2 linked regions of the Lonchura striata genome follow. The protein of the gene in region 1 interacts with the protein of each later gene in a pairwise test. Links are inferred from orthologs where the notes say so. Each region holds a gene or a part of one and is shown on either strand. Other genes may lie near its edges.

Region 1 (9,371 bases):
TTATTGGGAAATAAGATGTAGGTAGCAGAAACCCCACGCTGCTACAGCAGGGCATTGGTCAGGGATACAGGGAGGTAAGGACAGGCACGAGGGCAAGCAAGAGTCAGCAAAGTCAGGAGAACCAGAAGGCAGGCTGGGGTCAGGGCAAAGGAATGGAACAACTGTCACAGGGACCTTCTTCTTCCTTTCAGGACTTTTTGTAGAGCAGCACAGAGGAAAGAAAGAGAAAACAATTTCTATTTCTGCTCCTAGTTTTTCCCATGTGGAATGTGTTTGGAGAATTGTTTACCTGGGGTGATTGCTTGGTTGGATTCTGGTGAGGATTGTTGGAGCCTGATGGCAAATCCAATCCACCTGTGGCTGGACTCTCAGAGAGGGTCACAAGTTGTGAGTGAGTTAGATATGGTAGTTAGAAAAAATAGGTCTGTAGTTTTAGTATCTCCTTTAAATAGTATATAATGTATTGTAGTATAGTTATAATAAATAAATAAATAAACCTCCTTCTGAACTGGAGTCAGACATCATCATTTCTTCCTACTGGGTTCACCTGCATTTACAATACCCAACAAACAGCAGTGAGCCTCAGCGACAGTGGAGACCATTGGCCCAGTTCCAGCCTTTCTTTTCATTACCTGCTTGGAGAAGCCCCTCCACAGTGACTGCCTCATGTGAGGGGTTGCCAGGCTAAGCCTCCTCAGGGATGAGGCTTCCTCCACTCCTGGCTGCCCTCTTTAAGTGGCACCTGTACACACTTCCTCCCTCCCCGCTCGTGTCTCTGACACCCCTGACAGCCAGGGTTGAGACTAAATCAAAACCAAATTGGCTTATCACACAGGGAACAAGTCCAGCTGAGCAGCTCAGAAGAGAATTTTCATCATCTGGCATATGGAGCATGTGTGGGTGCTGAGGCTGGTTGGTAGTGAATTCCCTGGAGAGGGGGAAGTGTGTGAAATATTCCATCTTCCCCACATTTAGGAGCATTAAGTCAGAGATTCAGTCTGAAGCCCCTCCCAGTTTGCTCGCACTGACAGGTGTTGGTTGTGATCAGTCAGCTGCTGCAGAGAAATTTGCAAGCATCTCTACCTTGTCTCAATTTCCACTCTGTAGTTTTTACATCAGCAGCACGGAGAGGTTCTACTTCTAACCAGAAAGTGGATTGAGCCCAGAAAACAGCTCCTGAGCGTCACTGCAAATCTGTTTAAGTTTGTAATTGTTATTCTTACAGGAAACTCCACCTGTGAACTACAGCTTTCTGTATGTTTTCATTCTACCCATCATAGATGTGTAGAACCCTCAAACCCTTCCCATTTCTGAGATGTTTTAGGCAGGATACATGGATCCCCTGGCTCTTCCTTGCTCCATGGCTTTGCTGTCCTCTGTGCTGGTGAGAGTGGTGATGGCTCAGAGGGATGAAAGGTCCATGGGCAGAAGAGGAAATGTCTGTTGTCTCTGAAGCTGGAGGTAAAAAAGCTTTTCTTGAACTGCTGCTTGCCTGCTAAAAGGCTTGTCTGGCAAGGTCACAGAAAAATGAATTCTTCACAAGAGAGGAGTAATTGTATTTTGCTGAACTTCCCCTGGTTCTTTCAATCATTTGACTGCTGGACTTACGTTCATTCCTTCTGCCCTTCGACTTTGACTGTTCCTTCACCTAAGAGGGAAATTCCCAGAGATTTCTTGTTAGCCAAGACCAAATTTGAAGTCACTGACATTTGTTTCTTGTTAAAAAAGCAGAGATCCTGAGCAATCTGATGGGTGGGATCACAGAACAAAGCCTACAACTTCAACAAGTACATTTGTTTTCTGAATGAAACGTTAAGGGACATTTGTGCTATAGCCCTCCAAAATCTGATTTATTTCATGCAAAAAAGGAGTCAGCCCTGAGATCTTGGCAATGAAAAACCCATTCCTGTGAGCTTGATTTTTCGTTAAGCTGTCTCTAGTGCAACAAAATCAAAGAGAGGTTGGGAATACTCTGGTCTAAGTTGTCTGTGAAGAAACACCCCTTAGATAAAAAGTTCCTTTTTTCTTCTTGTTCCAAACAGATCTGTTCTTAATTGCCTGTCTCAAACACTGACATAAATTTGGCAATCATCTCTATTTCTAGAAAAATCCAAACTTCACCTTCAATTGTGGTGGATAAGCTAAAATCATGCCCAGAAAAGCTATCTGCACAAACCCCAGCTTATCTGGAATGCAGGAAATTGGATTTTGACCCTTTTTTGGGGCTTCTGGTGGTTTTGTGGTCTGAGTGTTCTTTGTTCACTTTACTAAGCACCGGGGTCTTTGCCATCAGCCTGAGTAACATGGGATGGAGCATGTTTTTTTGGAAAGGTGACGTAGTGTGTTGGGCACCAGTTAGATTTGTGTTGTGGTGGACATTTCTGAAGAAGTCCAACTGATGTATGGTTTCTCTACTCACATTTTCTCTCCCCTTTTTCCTTATTACACTCACACCATTGTGTAATTTAATTTTTCCACAATTCCCTCTATTTGTGCAGAATATTTGTTCTTTTGTTGCCATGCCTTTCTGTTTCCTCACTTGGTGGTTCTTCTATGTACAGGAAAAGTCTGTTTCTTTTATTTGTGTGTACTCCCTGTTGTTCTCTTTAATTTATTTCAGATTTTTTTTTTTTTCTGTCTGAATAACTATTTTGTTGAATCACTGTGGCACCAAGTTCCAAAATATAACAAGAGAGGTTGGTAACATTTATGAAAAGACAAATGGAGAGTCCCAGGATGAAAATGCAAACGTGAGGTGACCAGCAGGTTCAACAGCAAGGTGGTGCCCAACCTTCTCCTCTTGAGGTATATTTAATGTTAGTGTTGTTCACATGGAGTTCTGGCTTTCCTGGGGTCCTGTCTGTGGCACAGGCGAGTCAGGGACACTGAGAGGAAACTGCAGAAACCAGGGGAGCATTTTGCAATACTTCCCCAGTCTATTTTCCCACCTTCTGAAAGTTTTCCTTAGAGGGGTTCTTCCTCACCTTATCAGTACTGATACAGAGGTGGCTTGGTCATCCAGTTCCTAACTGTAGGAAGAGGTGAGTAAAGAGGGAGTTTCCTGTGGACGCTGGTGACTATTTGGGCAGCTCCATCCCATGGAGGCCAATTTTGGACACATGGAAACTCTTGCAAACTATTCACAAAGCTCTGCTGTCTCAGTTCCCTGAGGTGTGTGATGCATGTCCTGCCTGGGTCTTGGGCAGCCTCTTGGAAGGGCCAGGGAAGGTGATCACTGGAGATCTTTGTTTCAGATAATGTTTGCAGTAAATAAAAAGTTCCACTGATAGGATAAAACCACAATCAACTGTATCTTACATTAAAATTCCACTATGTCCCACTATTTGGCTAAATTTGATTTTTGATTTGTCTGTCACATTGTTCCTCATTGAAGACCCATTCTTTACTTTTTCCCTTTTCACTGGTACGGTCCTGTTGTGTAAGTGTATCATAAAACAAAAAGGAAATAAAATTTTCTATGTGAAAAATCAAGAACATCTGATGCCTAGGAAGAATAAGAACTTGGGTATGTCAAGCTGCAGACATCTGGGCTTTTATTTAAACTGTTTTCAGCTTTGTCACTGAATCATCTTTTGAAAACCAAATATATTTTAAAAAAATCCTTATTGGCTGTCTAATACCATCCAGGTGTGTATTTGATTTTTTCCTTCTTACTGCCATATTGTCCAAATGAAAAAGCCTTGAATTAATTTATGTACAATTCAGAAGATGTTACCAGTACATTAAAGAAAGAAGAGGAAAAAAAGTAGGCTGCTTTTAAACACCCATCCTTCAAGAGTTGTGCCTGGGGAATGACTTCCTGCCTCTGGAACAGATTTTCCTTGGTTTGAAGTCAGATCCCGGGATTTCCAGCTGGAGACACTCGCAGCTGCGGAGCGGGCAGGGATCCGAGAGCTCAGGGGTTAATCTGAGCCGTGTGTCCGAGCCCCACGGAGGTAAAGCCAAGCACTGAGACCTTTTGCTCCGAGAGGCTCTGGCACTGCCGGGAGGTTCATTTTGTCTGCAAAACCAAGCATGTAATTTCCCTTCTCCCTTGCTGTCCCCTCTGTCCCCTCTGTCTGGCCAGTCCTGTGGCTCAGCGGCAGCAGAGTCTCCCTGGAGACAGCCGGGACAGCTGAGCTGACCTTCAGCAGGGTGGTGAGAGATGCCTTTCCCTGCAGGACCTGGGCTAGGAAGCCCCCAAATTGGCTTTTTTCCTGCCACTCAGAAGGGGAAGGATGGGGAAAACCTGAGACGCCTCTGTGCTTGGAAGCAGAAAAGTGAAGAAATGACATAAATTAAAAAAAATAAATTACAAAAAATCATCAGCAGCATCCAAATTACATGCATTGAAAGCTTCCAGCTTACCACAGTTTTATGGCAGATTTACACAGAGATTAAAAATGATCCCTCATGAGTGAACACCAGCTCGTGTGAGCTGTGTAAATCCAAGTGTCCGTACAGCCGCCAGACTTGGCATCCAAAACATCTCCGAGTCCACAAAGCCAGCAGAAGGGACATTTCTACCTTTTTTTTCAAAATAAACAGAGCTACTGAAGCCTCTGGAGTGTGGATTTAGCTGTCAGTCTTATTTACTACTTTCAGCTGTTATCTGCTGCCGCTGAAGCCGAGCGTGAACAACTTACCCGCCTGCACTGATAACTTTGCTTTCTGTTTCAGCTCCAGACAGAAATCCCATCAAAGCTTTCATTCCGATCCACGCGCTGAAAGATGACACAGGAGTTAAAGAAGTGAGGCTGAAATTCCTAAGGCTCTCCTAAAGATTTTTCCAAGAATTTTAAAAAGCCTCTTAAAAACGGCGGCAGAGATCGAATGCTGTTAAGGGAGGGGAAAAGAAAAAAAAAAAAAAAAAAAAAAAAAGGAAGAAAAAAACTTTGGCAGGCAAACAGTGTCTTACATCAATCTAGCAGTCAGCATCTATGTAGATGTTCTTTCCTCCTTTTGTGCAACACCCCTTCCCTCCTACAGACCACCCAAAGCCCTATAAATAATCCAAGGACTGTATTTTTCCTCCAGATTTCTCTTCAGACCTCAAAGGGAAAATATCAGGCAAAGGAAGGGAGAGAGGGAGAAGGAAAAGTGAGGAGGGGAGAGAGAGAGAGAGAGAAAGAGGAAAGATGGCTAGTGAATTCAGAAAGAAAATATTCTGGAGGGCAGTGGTGGCCGAGTTCTTGGCCATGAGCCTTTTCATTTTTATCAGCATTGGCTCGGCTCTGGGCTTCAACTTCCCCGTGGTGGCCAACAAAACATCAACGAGGTCCCAGGACAACGTGAAGGTTTCCCTGGCTTTTGGGTTATCCATCGCTACCATGGCGCAGAGCGTGGGCCACATCAGCGGGGCGCACCTGAACCCCGCTGTCACCCTGGGGCTGCTGCTCAGCTGCCAGATCAGCATCTTCAAGGCGCTCATGTACATCCTCGCCCAGTGCCTGGGGGCAGTGGTGGCCACAGCCATTCTCTCCGGAGTCACCTCCTCTCTCCCAGGAAACTCCCTGGGGCTTAATGCTGTAAGTAGAAACTTTGAATTCCTCCTTTATTTTCTTTTTATTTTAGAGTAGAAATGTAGCAGCTGTCATCTGCTAAAGATGTGGGGGTTCTGCTGGTGTTGGTGACCTTGGAGAGCCCGACTGTTTATTGTAGGAGAGAATCCAGTCCTGGCTGATAACCAGGATGTCACAGGGATGGTCCTTCCTCCCCACCCTCATGTTGGAGCTTTAGGACATTCTGGTCATGATCAGTTGTGCTTATGTTCAGTTTTGTACATCCAAGTTGCTGCAAGGTGGTTTTTGATGCCAATTTAACACTGAATTGACTGACAGCTTTACGACCTTTCATGGTTCTGAGGGTCTCTAAGGTGACATGTTGATTAATGTGCATACACCAGTGTTGTTTTGGCTTCTGTGAGTGTGGTTCATTTTCAGTACTTAATTAATGGTTTGTGTATACTGGTGACGGCTGCAGTGAAAACTCTTGGGAGCAGAGAGGTGTGCAGCAAGAGAAATCCCATCCCCAAAGGTGTGGGCAGTACCTGTTGCATTAGGCAGAGTGCTCAGATCCTGCTTGTCAGAATCCCAGCTGGCCTTTCTGTGCATTTCTGGGAAAAAATTGGACAAATCCTGAATTGTCATGTGTAAACTGGAGGAAAATGTGAGGCAGCTACAGGTAACTGGGGTGCAGGTTCCAGCTCTCTCCCAGCCAGATGCTCACATCATTCTGCCTAAAAACTGCCTGGCCACAACTCCTCCTTAAAATGTCATTTTGCTGTTGTTGTTGCAGGATAATAGGAGAAAAAAAAAAAAAAGGTAAATACACTTTTAAACTTGAAATCATCCCACTGTCAGAGGCAGTGCTACAGCCACCGCAGGACACACAGTGCTATAAATGGAAATTCCTCCTGGTCACTTACTTGACCTGATCTCTTAAGAACAAGTATTTCACATATTTTCCTTGGCCCCTTTCTTTCAGAATATTCCTGACTGCAGTTTGTAAATTGAGCTAATTTGAAATCTTCTGCCCATTTGCATTCATAGGGGTATTTGGGACATAAAGCTGCAAATGCAACATCTCTTCTGAAATAACTTAGGCAAAAGAGCAATATGGCTTTACATATTGTAATTTGACATTGCAGTTAATTGAGAACATGAGTCAAGTTTTCAAAACAGAATAAAATCTGATATTAAGGTGATTCCTGGGCAGCTCAGTATCATCCACCCTTGTGTTTCTCTGTGAGTTGGCTGCTCACCTCCCTCTCTCCTGGTGCCTGCAGCTATTCCATCCTGCCAGCGCTTTGGAAATTTTGATGGGTTAACTCAAAACATTTTGGGGAAGAAGAGCAAATAATTTTATTGATTCCAGAAGGCTCTGGCTGCGAGAATGATACATGATCTTTTCCTCTGAAACCACTGACAGAGGGAACAGCTCAACCACATGGGACAGGGTGTCCGCCCAAGTGGTTTCCTCGAGAGGTCCAACTGCCATTAAACACGGGAGGTCTGGTTTTGGTAGCACTTAAGCTTGGTTTTTCCCTTTTGCTTCCATAAAATCCTGATGACTGGTTCCTTCCTCTAACCAAAGCACTAAACCTGGCCATTTGTGAAGGGGGGTGAAGCTCTTCTTGCCCCTCTGTCAGTAACTCCTCAAACTACAAAAGCAAAACCAGGCAGGGATAAGTCTCCATCATATAAATTTTACAAATCGATCAGCAATTTCTGTGCAATGGAATAACACGAAATATAGTTTCTAAAAGCTCTGGTCTCACTGCTTGTCATTGGGAAATATTCAGAATTTTCTTTCTTTTTCCTTTCACATCCACTTATAAATGTTCTGGCTGGAGGAGCAGTGGGGAGATGCCCCTGGGGATAGTGAGGGCAGCAGCTGTTCTGCCTTGTGAGAGAAAGATAGGGAGGAAAGGAAAGGAAAGGAAAGGAAAGGAAAGGAAAGGAAAGGAAAGGAAAGGAAAGGAAAGGAAAGGAAAGGAAAGGAAAGGAAAGGAAAGGAAAGGAAAGGAAAGGAAAGGAAAGGAAAGGAAAGGAAAGGAAAGGAAAGGAAAGGAAAGGAAAGGAAAGGAAAGGAAAGGAAAGGAAAGGAAAGGAAAGAAAGGAAAGGAAAGGAAAGGAAAGGAAAGGAAAGGAAAGGAAAGGAAAGGAAAGGAAAGGAAAGGAAAGGAAAGGAAAGGAAAGGAAAGGAAAGGAAAGGAAAGGAAAGGAAAGGAAAGGAAAGGAAAGGAAGGAAAGGAAAGGAAAGGAAAGGAAAGGAAAGGAAAGGAAAGGAAAGGAAAGGAAAGGAAAGGAAAGGAAAGGAAAGGAAAGGAAAGGAAAGGAAAGGAAAGGAAAGGAAAGGAAAGGAAAGGGAAAGGGGAAAGGGGAAAGGGGAAAGGAAGGAAATAATTTCCCAGTGACAAGCCTGGAGTGCCTGGGGAGGGGAGGGCTGAGAGGGAACTGGGTTTGAGCCCAAAGTATGGGGGAGCAGGAGCAGAGGGGCTGTGCTCATGCAGAGTCCACCTCAATGGGGCATATCCTGAAACCACAGCACTAGAGGTCCTCCTTCAACAATGATCCGGCAAGGAGAAACCATAGAGCTTCTTTTATTGTTATGATTTGTAACCTGAGGACAAGAAGGGGAGGCTCAGAGCTGGCATCCCTGCCAGCTGCTCTGTCTTCTGGACCTTCTTGTGGGTAACGAGGTGTGGATTCCCTGCTCAGAAAAAAAATAGAAAGGAAGAGAGTGCTGCTTGTTTGGCATGGTTGGGAAGAGGGTCCGGATGTGTGTGTCTTTGTCCTCTGTTCTGACCCTGCTGTGCTCTTGGAGAGGTGTTTTTTACAGGAAAAATGTGGTGGGGGCAGTGTAATGGAGTGAGTGTCCATCCAGTGTTCCCAGTGGATCCTGGGTGGGATTGCATGCCTGACCTTGGATTTCTCCTGCCTGGCTGCAGGTCCTGCACTGAGGGACCAAGCTGAGAACCCCTTTCCACTGTCTTCTCTCTGATCCACAGAGAATGAGAGACAAAGAGAGGCACTTCAACCTTCAGATCTGTTCAGTTGCTCCCAGAGACACCCAGCTGCTCTTTGCCATACTGAGGCTCCAGGCTTGGAAGCCTCTGCTAAGAATCCAAAATTAAGTGGGATAAATCTGTGTCTTTCTCATTGCACAAAGGGAAGAAAGGAAACGCAACCAAATGAAGCACAAAACCCAGACATGGACAGTGCAAGGCTGAGGAGAAAGAAGGAAGAATGAAAATGCAGGATGTTCCTTTAACGTGTTCAGTATTAAGGTCTGGTTTACACTAAGACAAGCAAACCAGTCACACAATAGCATTTTGATCCAAACTTTGCTTAAGTCAACAGACATATTTTTAGTTACTTTGGCTAGTCCCACGTAAGACATTTTGGACAGCACTCAGAGATGTATTTAGATTACTAAATCCTTTTAAGACACTTAACTTACAATATATTTTAGTAGTGGTGTGGGTTCCAAAGTAAAACTTTGAGAATTGGAGAAGCTGGAAGAGGAGTATGTAGTGTGTTTGCCCTTCTAAAAATTTAAATATTTTTCCTTACATCATCTTGTATCTTTTTTTTGGAAGTTGGACTACTACACATTACGAATTTCCATTAGGTAAAGCTGCAAGAATAGAGAATGTGAGATCCAAAATGCACTCATCTGCCAGCAGAGCTGGCTATTGTCTGGTGAGGACAGATCTGGAGTTTGGATAATGGAACAAACTACTCAGCACAGGCAGTTAATGACCAACAAAGAGCTCAAGTAGGAAAGAGGGGAGAGAAGAGACTTCTGTGCTGTAAAGTAACACAATATTTGCTGTTAAACAATGTTTATCTGGAGAACTTTTAGCA
Region 2 (10,053 bases), on another chromosome or scaffold:
CCAGTGCATCAGTTTGTGTGCTTTAAGCATTCCCCAAAGTCCCTGCCACAGTCACACCGCTTGGCTGCTTCCTCTGTGCACGCTAGAGACAGCAGCCATGCCAAGGAAAAGCTTTTGAGAGCAAATACCCAACTTCAAGTAGAGACACAAAATCTCTGTAGAAAAGACCTCTCTGAAATGGTTAACTTTCCAGAGAATCAGAGTGAGACGCATATGCAGCTCACTTTCTCAGACCCTCTGTAGCCAAGACCTGCAGAAGTGCCAAGCTGAAGTGCTTTGGAGGGTTCAGTGGACACCCAGGAGTCAGCAGCAAAGCTATTCACACAACTCTACTTACAGCCTGTATAGCTATAGCCATTAGCTGTAACCACAAATAGATAAACTTAATTACAACTTAATCTATTCATTTGTTTTTATACCTTATGCACAAGCTTTTAATTAATTAATGGTATGGAAAATTTGATTGCATAATTTAATTATAAAAACTACTTAGAGCAAAAGGGTATGTCAATAGAAATACAAAATTTTGTGAAGGATTTAGTTTTTAATGAATTTTAGCTCAGACCAATTAGCACATGAATTTTATGTTCATCTGGTATTCACAGAATAGGCACTAATAGTATGGTAGGGATATATTTTCACTAGAAAAACTGAAATCTTGGTACAAGTGCAAAATAAATGCCTGACATCATGAAGAGATGATCAGGAGGGAGCTAATGGAACAGTAATGAACATCTCTGTAAGAGCTAATACTGTTTCACTTAGTTACACTTCTGGTGTATTCCTAAGAATCTCCATATGTTCATACTTAAAGGCATGCATGCGAAGAAAACAAGCAAGAAAGTGCTACTTAAAAGTACTATGATTGTAAAATTTGTTTAGGATAGTGTATTTTTAGTGAATAAAAATGTATATACCATATATATATCTACATATGTATCTACATATATGTGTGTTTTGCTACATATACACATACAGACACACATACACTACTTGTAAGTAGAAAATCATGTCTGAGACTGGCTTAAGTCTGAGACTGGCTGACATTCCTCCTATCCTGTCCCCATAACAATACCACTGAGCCTCTCCTTCTTTTAGTCATTTGGGAGATGGAGATTAACACATCTGAGATTTCAAGCATTTTATTTTTTGTGAAGAATTTCACAACTCATGGGTTTCTACCCTTCTCTACTTCATCACGTTCTGCTGTGTATTGTGTTGCTCCAAGTAGTGTCTGCTGCCAAATTAAAACTGTAAAGACACAACTTCTGTGCCTTTGGGTCTGGGTTGTGTTTTGTAGTTGTCTGGTCTCTTATTCCTTTATTATTCTTATGACAAAATCAAAGAGTGGCTACCACTGAGATCAGGGAAGTATTCTGCAATGTTGATCTGATCAATACCTCCTCAAGCAGGACTGAACTCAGGAGTACTCTTCTGAAGAAGAATTTGTTTTATAGCTCCTTACAAATCAGCTACATTTTATGGGACATTTATACTTTCCTTTTGAAACTGCATGTTGATGCACATCCTTATAATGAACATTACACAGAACAATTAGAAAATGATGCTACTTCAAATGCACAGAGTTTATATATATAATATATATACACATACATACATATATGTCCTTGATATATAGTTTTCATTTTGTATTTAATATAGTTATTAAAAATAAGAGTTGAAATTAAGAATAAAATATTTCATCTTTTTTTCAGGGTAGGTAGAAAACTGCATTGGGATAGGGAATTTTTCACCAAGCTGTCAGTCAGATTTCAATTCAAATCAATAGTGGAGGGAGTATTTTTTCAACAGACAGCTTTTCAGTAGCCTTCTTGAAACAAATATTTTGTGCATAAGTGTCCATGTTGCATAACAAGAAGAAGAATAATTATCCTTATCTGTAGATGTCAAGATAAGACATCATATAAGGGCTGAGTACAGTTTCACACTCCTGGGCAGGCCTCTCAGCTTGGTGATAGGTAAAATGAACGGACCTGACCTGCCAGGGCTGTACCTGCTCTGGTTTGAGAGGACACTCCTGGCACCTTACATAGACACAATATGTGCTCCTTGTCAGCTCAGGAGCACTGAGCGAAATTACCAGGCAGCAGGTTCATAGCAAACAAAAGGAAGTACCTTTTCACACAAATCATAATTAAATTGTGGTGCTCATTGCTACAGAAGCAGGTTGAGAATAAAGCATAAACAGATTTTTTTAAAGGGAGTAGGAAAACTCAAAGTTTATTATACATGATGGTCAGAGAGCAAACTCCAGTTTAAGAAATCCATGTTCTGTGTGTTGCTGAAACTTGAAAGGATATGCCAGGAAAAGATCCCTGTATGCCAGTCCTGTTTCTTACGTTTTTCTCCTTCAGCATCTGCTAATGGCTGTAGTCAGAGCCAGGATATTGGACTAGATGTTCAACTCACTATAGCAATTTATTTGATCGTATTCTTTTAATTAAATTATGTTCTTATTTTGGCTACTTAAAAGGATCTAAGGCCTTGATGGAGAAAGGCATTTAAATGCTTTAATACGTTATTTCAGGGAGGTGAGTACTTGAGTGTATCATACCATTTGCATTTTAGGCCATAAACTTACTGGGGTGGGGCTCACTCATCTTTTAATAGGATTTTGCTTTTTCTGGGTATGAGCTAGAAACAAAATATATATCTGATAACAGTGCATAACACTGTTTTTCTATAAGGGTTAAATAGTATGTTTGCCTAAATGGCTTATGCCACAGGTAAATTTCCCAGTGATTTATGTAAGAATGATGACACTAGCATCAACTGATGTGAAAAGGAATCAACTTCCTTTATATTTGTAATGCACGAATATTACATTTATAGGAAGGTATTTTTCACCAGTTACCCATAATAGTATTGCCAGCCAATATGTAACTTACTTATATTTACCTAGAAAGGTATTTCAGATTTCATCCATTTTGCAAAAGCATCTGGCTGCCACCTATGTCACACATTGGTGAAAATCCAGATACAGACATGAAAGAAACCAAATACTGAAAACCATAAATTTCACCCCTGCTGCTTCTAAGCCTGACAGCAACAGTAAGGTTTCTTTCTACATCAACAAGAAGAGATAGAGATGAATGTTAGGTTGGCAGCCGAGCGAGCGAGGCAACCTCGGCATTCTTAATTGCGAGCGGCTTCATCCCGAGGAGAGGCGCAGCCCCGCAGGAGCAGCACACGGCGGGTCTCGGGCGCCGGGCAGCGGCTCCGCATCCCCGCCGCACCGAGCGCGGCGGCGGCGGGTGTTTCCCCAGCGGCGCAGGGAAGCCCCGCTCCGCTCGGGGCCGGGCACGGCGCACCGGGAGCATCCCTGCCCCGCCGGCCGCGCCCGGCCACCTGCTCCTCCCGCGGCCCCCGCCCGCGACATCTCCAGGGGAGGGGCGGGAAGGAGGCCGGGGCAGAGGGATGGCCGTGCCGCAGGGTACGGCGGGCGGGGGAGGCTGGGTGCCGCCCGGGGCTCCGCGGCCGCTGCCCGCGGGGGTTCCCCGGCCCCGGTGCGGCCGGCCAGGAGGGGCAGCCGGGAAAGGGGGCAGAGGGAAGGAGGGATGGGAAAGCAACTCCTGATCTTAGAGCAACGACTCGCTTGTTCACCCTCACCGTCTGCCGGCTCCTCGGATTGAAACAACAACAACAACAATAATAATAAAAATTACACCACCTCTCCTCGCGCGAAGGAGACCCACGTTACAGGCAGTGGAAGGTCAAGAGGAAAGACAGGAGGAGCGCTGTCTCGCCTCCGATCTGGCGGCTGTCACACCGCTAGCCCGTGTCCCCGGCTTCCCCGGGAGCGGCCCGATCCCTCCCCTGCTCGGGCTGAGCAGCATCGCCCGGCGCGGCGAATGCCCCGCGGCACCCCCAACACAAACCGGGGAGCGGCGGAGATTGGGGGCGCGGGTAGAGCCCGGCGACACCTCTTCCCACCCCTTTGTGCATCGCGGGCAGGACATACACACATACACACGCACACACACGCACACACACGCACACACAGACACAGACACACACAGACACTCCACCTTGCAACCTCGGCGCCGAAGCCGCCCGTTGTTACACACACACAGGCACGTTTACACACACCCTGTCACCCCGGTGAATACATTTTCTGTTGCGCTCTACCGCCCGCCATCCATCCATCCATCCATCCATCCATGCATCCATCCATCCATCTCCCTCCTTCCTTTTCCTCTTCCCCCTCACCCCCCTCCCCCTTCCACATCCCTCCCTTTGGTCGGTATGGCTTTCCCCACACACACACCCTTTGCATCACTATAAAGCAGACATTTTGGTGCCGTTTATCACGGTTCAGGCTGAAATGAGCGCGGAGAGCCTTACCCACCCCCGCCCGGCTGCGTGCAGTTGGCGCTGAGCGATCCCGGGAAGGGCTGGTGCTGCTCGTCCCCTAGCGCAGCTGCTTCGCTGCCATCCGCCCAACTTCAGCACCCAGCCGGCGGGGAGAGGGAGGGAGGCGGCGGCAGGCAGGCGGGCAGGGAGGGAGGAAGGGAGGGAGGGGGCAGCGAGAGAGGGGGAGAGAGGGAGGGAGGGAGGGAGGGAGAGGGAAGGAGGGAGGGCGGCGGAGAGGAAGAGAGGGCGGGAGGGTGCGAGGAGCGGCGCGGAGCAGGGAGCCCCCGCACATGCGCTCTGCCGGCGGCGGCGGAGCCCGGCGGCAGCGGGAGTTCCCCGCTCGCCCGGCGGGTGAGTCACGGCCCGGCCCGGCCCGGCAGCGCCCCGCCCCGCCCCGCCCGGCCCGGCCCGGCCCGGCCCGGCAGCGCCCCGCCCCGCCCCGCCCGGCCCGGCCCGGCAGCGCCCCGCCCCGCCCCGCCCGGCCCGGCCCGGCCCGGCAGCGCCCCGCCCCGCCCCGCCCGGCCCGGCCCGGCCCGGCAGCGCCGCGCCCCGCCCCGCCCGGCCCGGCCCGGCCCGGCAGCGCCGCGCCCCGCCGCGCCCCGCCCCGCCCGGCCCGGCAGCGCCGCGCCCCGCCGCGCCCCGCCCCGCCCGGCCCGGCAGCGCCGCGCCCCGCCGCGCCCCGCCCCGCCCGGCCCGGCCCGGCCCGGCAGCGCCGCGCCCCGCCCCGCCCCGCCCCGCCCGGCCCGGCAGCGCCGCGCCCCGCCCCGCCCCGCCCGGCCCGGCCCGGCCCGGCCCGGCAGCGCCGCGCCCCGCCCCGCCCCGCCCGGCCCGGCCCGGACCGGCAGCACCCCGCCCCGCCCCGCCCCGCCCCGCCCGGCCGGGCGCCGCCGCCGCTGCAGGGACGCTCCCCCGGCTGCCAGCGGCGCGGGTCTCCGCAGGCGGCGGAGCGGCAGCATCCCCGCTCGTGGGCTGGCAGCGTGTGACGGCGGGAGAGACACGTCGCCCTGCTGAGCAGTGAAGCGCTAGAGGTGCTGGGCTGCGGTTTTGTTTTCACTTTGGCCCCCACATCGGCATGTCCAAATAGATTTAAAAAAATAAAATTCCATAAACCACTATCCAGCACTTCATTATCCTCTGAAGCCAAGGGAGAGGCAGCGATTTAGTGGCCAAGTAACTTTTTGAAGTTGGGCATCTGAAGCACAATTTCTGGAAGAAAGAACCAGAGTGGATCTGCATGGATCTGTCGATGTCAACCATGAGACTCAAAATCAGGATGCTCTGGAAATCTGACTGTGAATCCTGAATCCTGACAGGTTTTGTTACTTAGTTTGTCCCATCTTTTTTACAAATTTTGGCTCAATAGAGAATGTTGTTTAGCTTTCCTTCTGCACCTTAGAAATGGGGAGCCTGATATATCTCCAGATAACAGCACTGGAAAAATACATATTTGGCATCTCGATCCTGTCAAATCATGACATTAATCCAGAAATGTTAATATCTCAGGAGAGGATGCATTACTACATTTACCACTTCACTAAAACAGTCTGGCAGGGTGGTACAAAAGACACAAGGCTGCATTAAGGTGTTTCAGTGGCTTGCCATCAATGTGTACCAATTCTCTTTGCAAAAGCGGTCAACATGCCTTTCTATCTCATCTAGAGCCCAAAGTGGAGTGCTACAAAAACTGAAGCCAAAATCACACATATGTTAGTAGGGCTGAAATTAAAAGGATTGAAAACAATCCAGAAGGGCTAGCTTCCATGATAGCTGCAAGAGCACAGGCACATCAAAACAAGCTCGGCTCTCAGGAATCTGTATTCAAAACACAACTAACTTAAAACATGACAGTAGCAGCCATGGTTGTCTGGCTTACTTTTTGTCTTCTGGGATAGAAGCTTCAGATTCTGAATCTCACAAGGACTAAAGTCAATGTAATCTCCCTGAAAGTCTCTCCCCATAAAATCATGACTTCTCTTTTCTTCTGATCTTGATCCTTGTGGAGAAAAAGTCCTTGAACTGCAAGCTACAACTCTGCCTGATTACCAAAGGTTATTGGCATGGCAATTTGGTAGTGCTTATGGAAATCTAAGTTATATTCCCTATCTCTAGAAACAGTGCTGAAAAGAGTATTGTAAAGGATAAAATGTATCTCTGAAGCATTAACAGTGTTTTTATAAGTTAATTGCAATGCTTAAAATCTTTATTGACTATCTAAAGCTTTAAAGAGCCCCACAGCTCTTCTACGGCCTCAATAAGGAAAAACCTCCATATTTAGGAAATAAGAGTTGTTTAACTTCAAACTCATATGTTGAAGCTTAATGACATTCAGTAAAGAATATGAGCCTTCATGCCTGCTTAATATTAGGAAGATGGCTCCACTCTGACAAAAACTCTGAAACCAATCAAAGCAAGTGTCTTCTACAGATTTAGGAGCTACATAGAGATGTTCAACTGAAAAGGGAGACAGTAATGGGTAGAATTGAAGTAAAATAATTTTATCTCTATATCAGAAAAATATAAAATTCTACAAGTTTTAAAATGCTGTGCTTAAAATGTTTAAATTAATAAAAGACTTCTGCTTTTTATTACTCTCTTAATGTTTCCCACAGCTCTGAACAAGCCATTCCTATTTACCATAGTTTCCTGCACTGAAGCCATTCCTTGTTTTTGCTTGAGCTCCTGTTTATAAACCCACTTCCTTTCAATAGCTGTTTAGCTGCTGTGTTCTGGCCACTGCCTAATCTTTGTGCCTACTTTAGAGCCCTGCAATTGCTCTCAATGACTTTTTCTTCCAGGCCTTTCAATCCTGTCTTCCTGGTTTATGGGTTTTGTTCCATGCTTCTTTGCATTTCTTAATCCACATGGTTTCCTTATTACCATTTTTTTTTTTTTTTATGAAATAAAACCTATTTGCATTGTTCTTCCAAAAAAACTTCACTGTGTTTTGACAAAAGGAAAATAAATGGAGAAATGTATTATAAAAGAACATGTGAAAAACTATAACATGTACTTGAGAAGGTCATCTGGAACAAAGACTCCAAATAAATTGAACAAAATCATTTTACTTTAACATCGTGAGGTTAAATGTGTGTAAAATTCCTATTGAATTTAATGGGCGTGAAGCTAGGTTCCTTATTTTCCAGTATCAAATCTACACTATTGTTAGTTGACTATATAATTTCAGCCAACTCCATATTCTACCTGCAGAAATGCAGACATTTAAAACTTGTTATGGTCGTGAACTCCTCAAGATTACAGTTAGTTAATAGTATTCCCTGCATATCTTCAACATAAAAGAAATCAAAGGCTAACATTAAAACAACTCAATAGTTGAAGACCTAATCTTGATCATAAAGCAATAATCTTCTTTTGTGACCCCAGCATGACTTCAATGTGATGCAAAATGAAATATTTAAAATGTGTTTCAAACATAGATCATATACTTCTTTTTTCTCTGTAAGCACCAGTACTGTAACAGCTTAAAGACACTTACACTTGTAGTATCATCTGGGAAATGGGTCAGGAAAATGACCTGCAGTTACAGAGATGTATTTATGTGTATTTACGGTCTACTTCATGCAAAAAAAAAGAATCTTGAATTCTTCTTATTTATGTCTGTGTAATACCATGGTCCTTTTTCAGTTGTGGAGTTTTTAATAACTCTCAGGCTGTCTAAAGCTACTTGACACTATTAAGATGCATTTAAAGAATTAAATAGACCTTTCTGTGTTGCTATACATAAAACTATAAAAATTAAAAAAAAAAAAAAAAAAAGAACAGCCACCAACCCCCACACCTAACTCTTCTTTGCCCCAAAGCAAATGAGTTGAAGAAATTATCATCTTCAGTTGGTTCTTTGGATGGAAAGCTCCCTTGTAAATGTGATTAGAGCTACAGCATCTCAGTAGTAGGGAGATATTTTTTTTCAGTAGCAGCAAATTGAGCAAACACAGAGTCTGTCTCTGACAGTCCACTTTTAGATTTCCCCAAGCGACATTTATAATTGGCTTGTTTGTATGCAGAAACAAAAGCTTCAGAAGTCCCCTTATTAAAGAACTGCTCTTTACAGATGGCAGTGCTCTTGTAGCTTACTCAGAGCAAGACCCAGAGATAATGGCATCTTGTTTTGCAGCTGTTTCTGTTAACTTTGGCTGAGCAATCAGTGCTTCAAAGGCTGGTATTATGTGCCAAAAGGCACCAAAACCAAAAGTCTGTTGACTGAGAAGAAAAATGTCACTGCTACTAAACCAAACTGAGCTGTAGATGTATTGCTTGAGATGACTTCATATGGGCTTGGGCTACCCTGGTGGTCTCTTCATCACAGCTCAGTAGTAAAGTGCTATCATTTTATCATTTCACCAAATATATTATTTCATTGCAAGCTAGGCAAAGATTCCTAGCACCATTCCTAGAGCTGAATGTATTTCATTCCTTTAACAGCTAGAGTGAGCAGATTTAAAAATGTTACATTGCACAGAAGCAGGAGATGGAGATTTACTTCAGCAACCAGCTGATCTTTGCGCTCTTCAGCAAAACTTTTCGCTTCACTGAACAGAAAGGACCAACAATAAGATTTTAAGACTAGGAGTCATAAACTCCGCTTGTATCTTTCAAGAAATTATATTTAGCATGAAGTATTTGGAATATGTCTGTTTCTAATGATTGATAATCCCAAGGTCATTAATTTTGGCAAATTCACAATAAATTACCAAGATTAAGGTTAAACAATGACATGCTAGTTTTTAGTTAGCTTGCTGACCCACAAACTCTTTAATGTTTCTTTTCAATGTTGACATTCACGGTATCATCCCTACCTTTATAAGTAATGGGATTATTGTAATGTGATATCCCTAAAACGTTGTTTTTTATTAGTAAATGATTACTTTTAAAAATTGATCTTGAGTCAAGAAAGTCTTTAAGTACATGCTTGTTCTCAGCAAATGAGACTTATGTAGAGATTTAGTGGTAATTCCATACTTAGGAAGTTTTGTAAAAATAGCACATTGATTGCTTTCACAATTTTCATTGTATTTTATTTAGTTTATAGTGTCATATATTTTTCTGAAGGTAAAATGAAATCTCAAAGACTTGTGCTTTATATATTTTTAACTTAATTGGCCTGCTTCATATTTCCGTGAAAATCTTAGTTAAGGTGAAGCTAAAAGTCAGAGTATAAATAATAGTATTTAAAAAGTCCCAAATCCCCTGCAACTCATAGCACAAGAGTGCCTATAGGAACTTATACTGCTGAAATTCAATATGTTATGGTTTGACTTAAAAACTCTGAGCATTTGAAACCACAGAACATGGGTGAATACAAATCCATCTCTTAAAAGAGGCAAATATTTCAGGTAGAGAATTAAAACTAAATATGGAACAAGGTAGATGTGTTGCAATAAAATTGGTTTTGTTATTTGTGAGAGGGTGATGTCTCTATTATAAGACCAGGCAATGTGCTCAGTGTAATGTGAAGAAATTAATTTTATGTCTAGTAATTAAATGAACCCATTTATTTTAAGAAATGTATTTAATTCCTCTTCCAAAGTTGGTAGCAGCAAGACTTAGGATTGGGAGCACGTATAGGTGACTACTTGGAGTTTCTAAGAGAATCAAGAATTTTTTTTTGAAGGAGAAAAACCATGATATACCATGGTAATGATTTATGTTATGGAAAGAAAA

What was found.
Region 2: the proteins of AQP1 (region 1) and RGS17 interact in binary tests that used the Homo sapiens proteins (3 or more experiments, as listed by UniProt). The two-hybrid records come from large-scale screens. The link is inferred for Lonchura striata from reciprocal best matches to the Homo sapiens genes AQP1 and RGS17.

What each region holds. Positions count from the first base shown.
Region 1 is NC_134603.1:153,508,555-153,517,925, forward strand, and holds the start of AQP1 (aquaporin-1), read left to right. Parts: upstream 1-4,869; 5' UTR 4,870-5,138; coding exon 5,139-5,528; intron 5,529-9,371. UniProt on the Homo sapiens protein: Forms a water channel that facilitates the transport of water across cell membranes, playing a crucial role in water homeostasis in various tissues.
Region 2 is NC_134605.1:56,032,570-56,042,622, reverse strand, and holds the start of RGS17 (regulator of G-protein signaling 17), read right to left. Parts: upstream 4,479-10,053; 5' UTR 4,366-4,478; exon of another isoform or gene 4,289-4,365; intron 1-4,288. UniProt on the Homo sapiens protein: Regulates G protein-coupled receptor signaling cascades, including signaling via muscarinic acetylcholine receptor CHRM2 and dopamine receptor DRD2.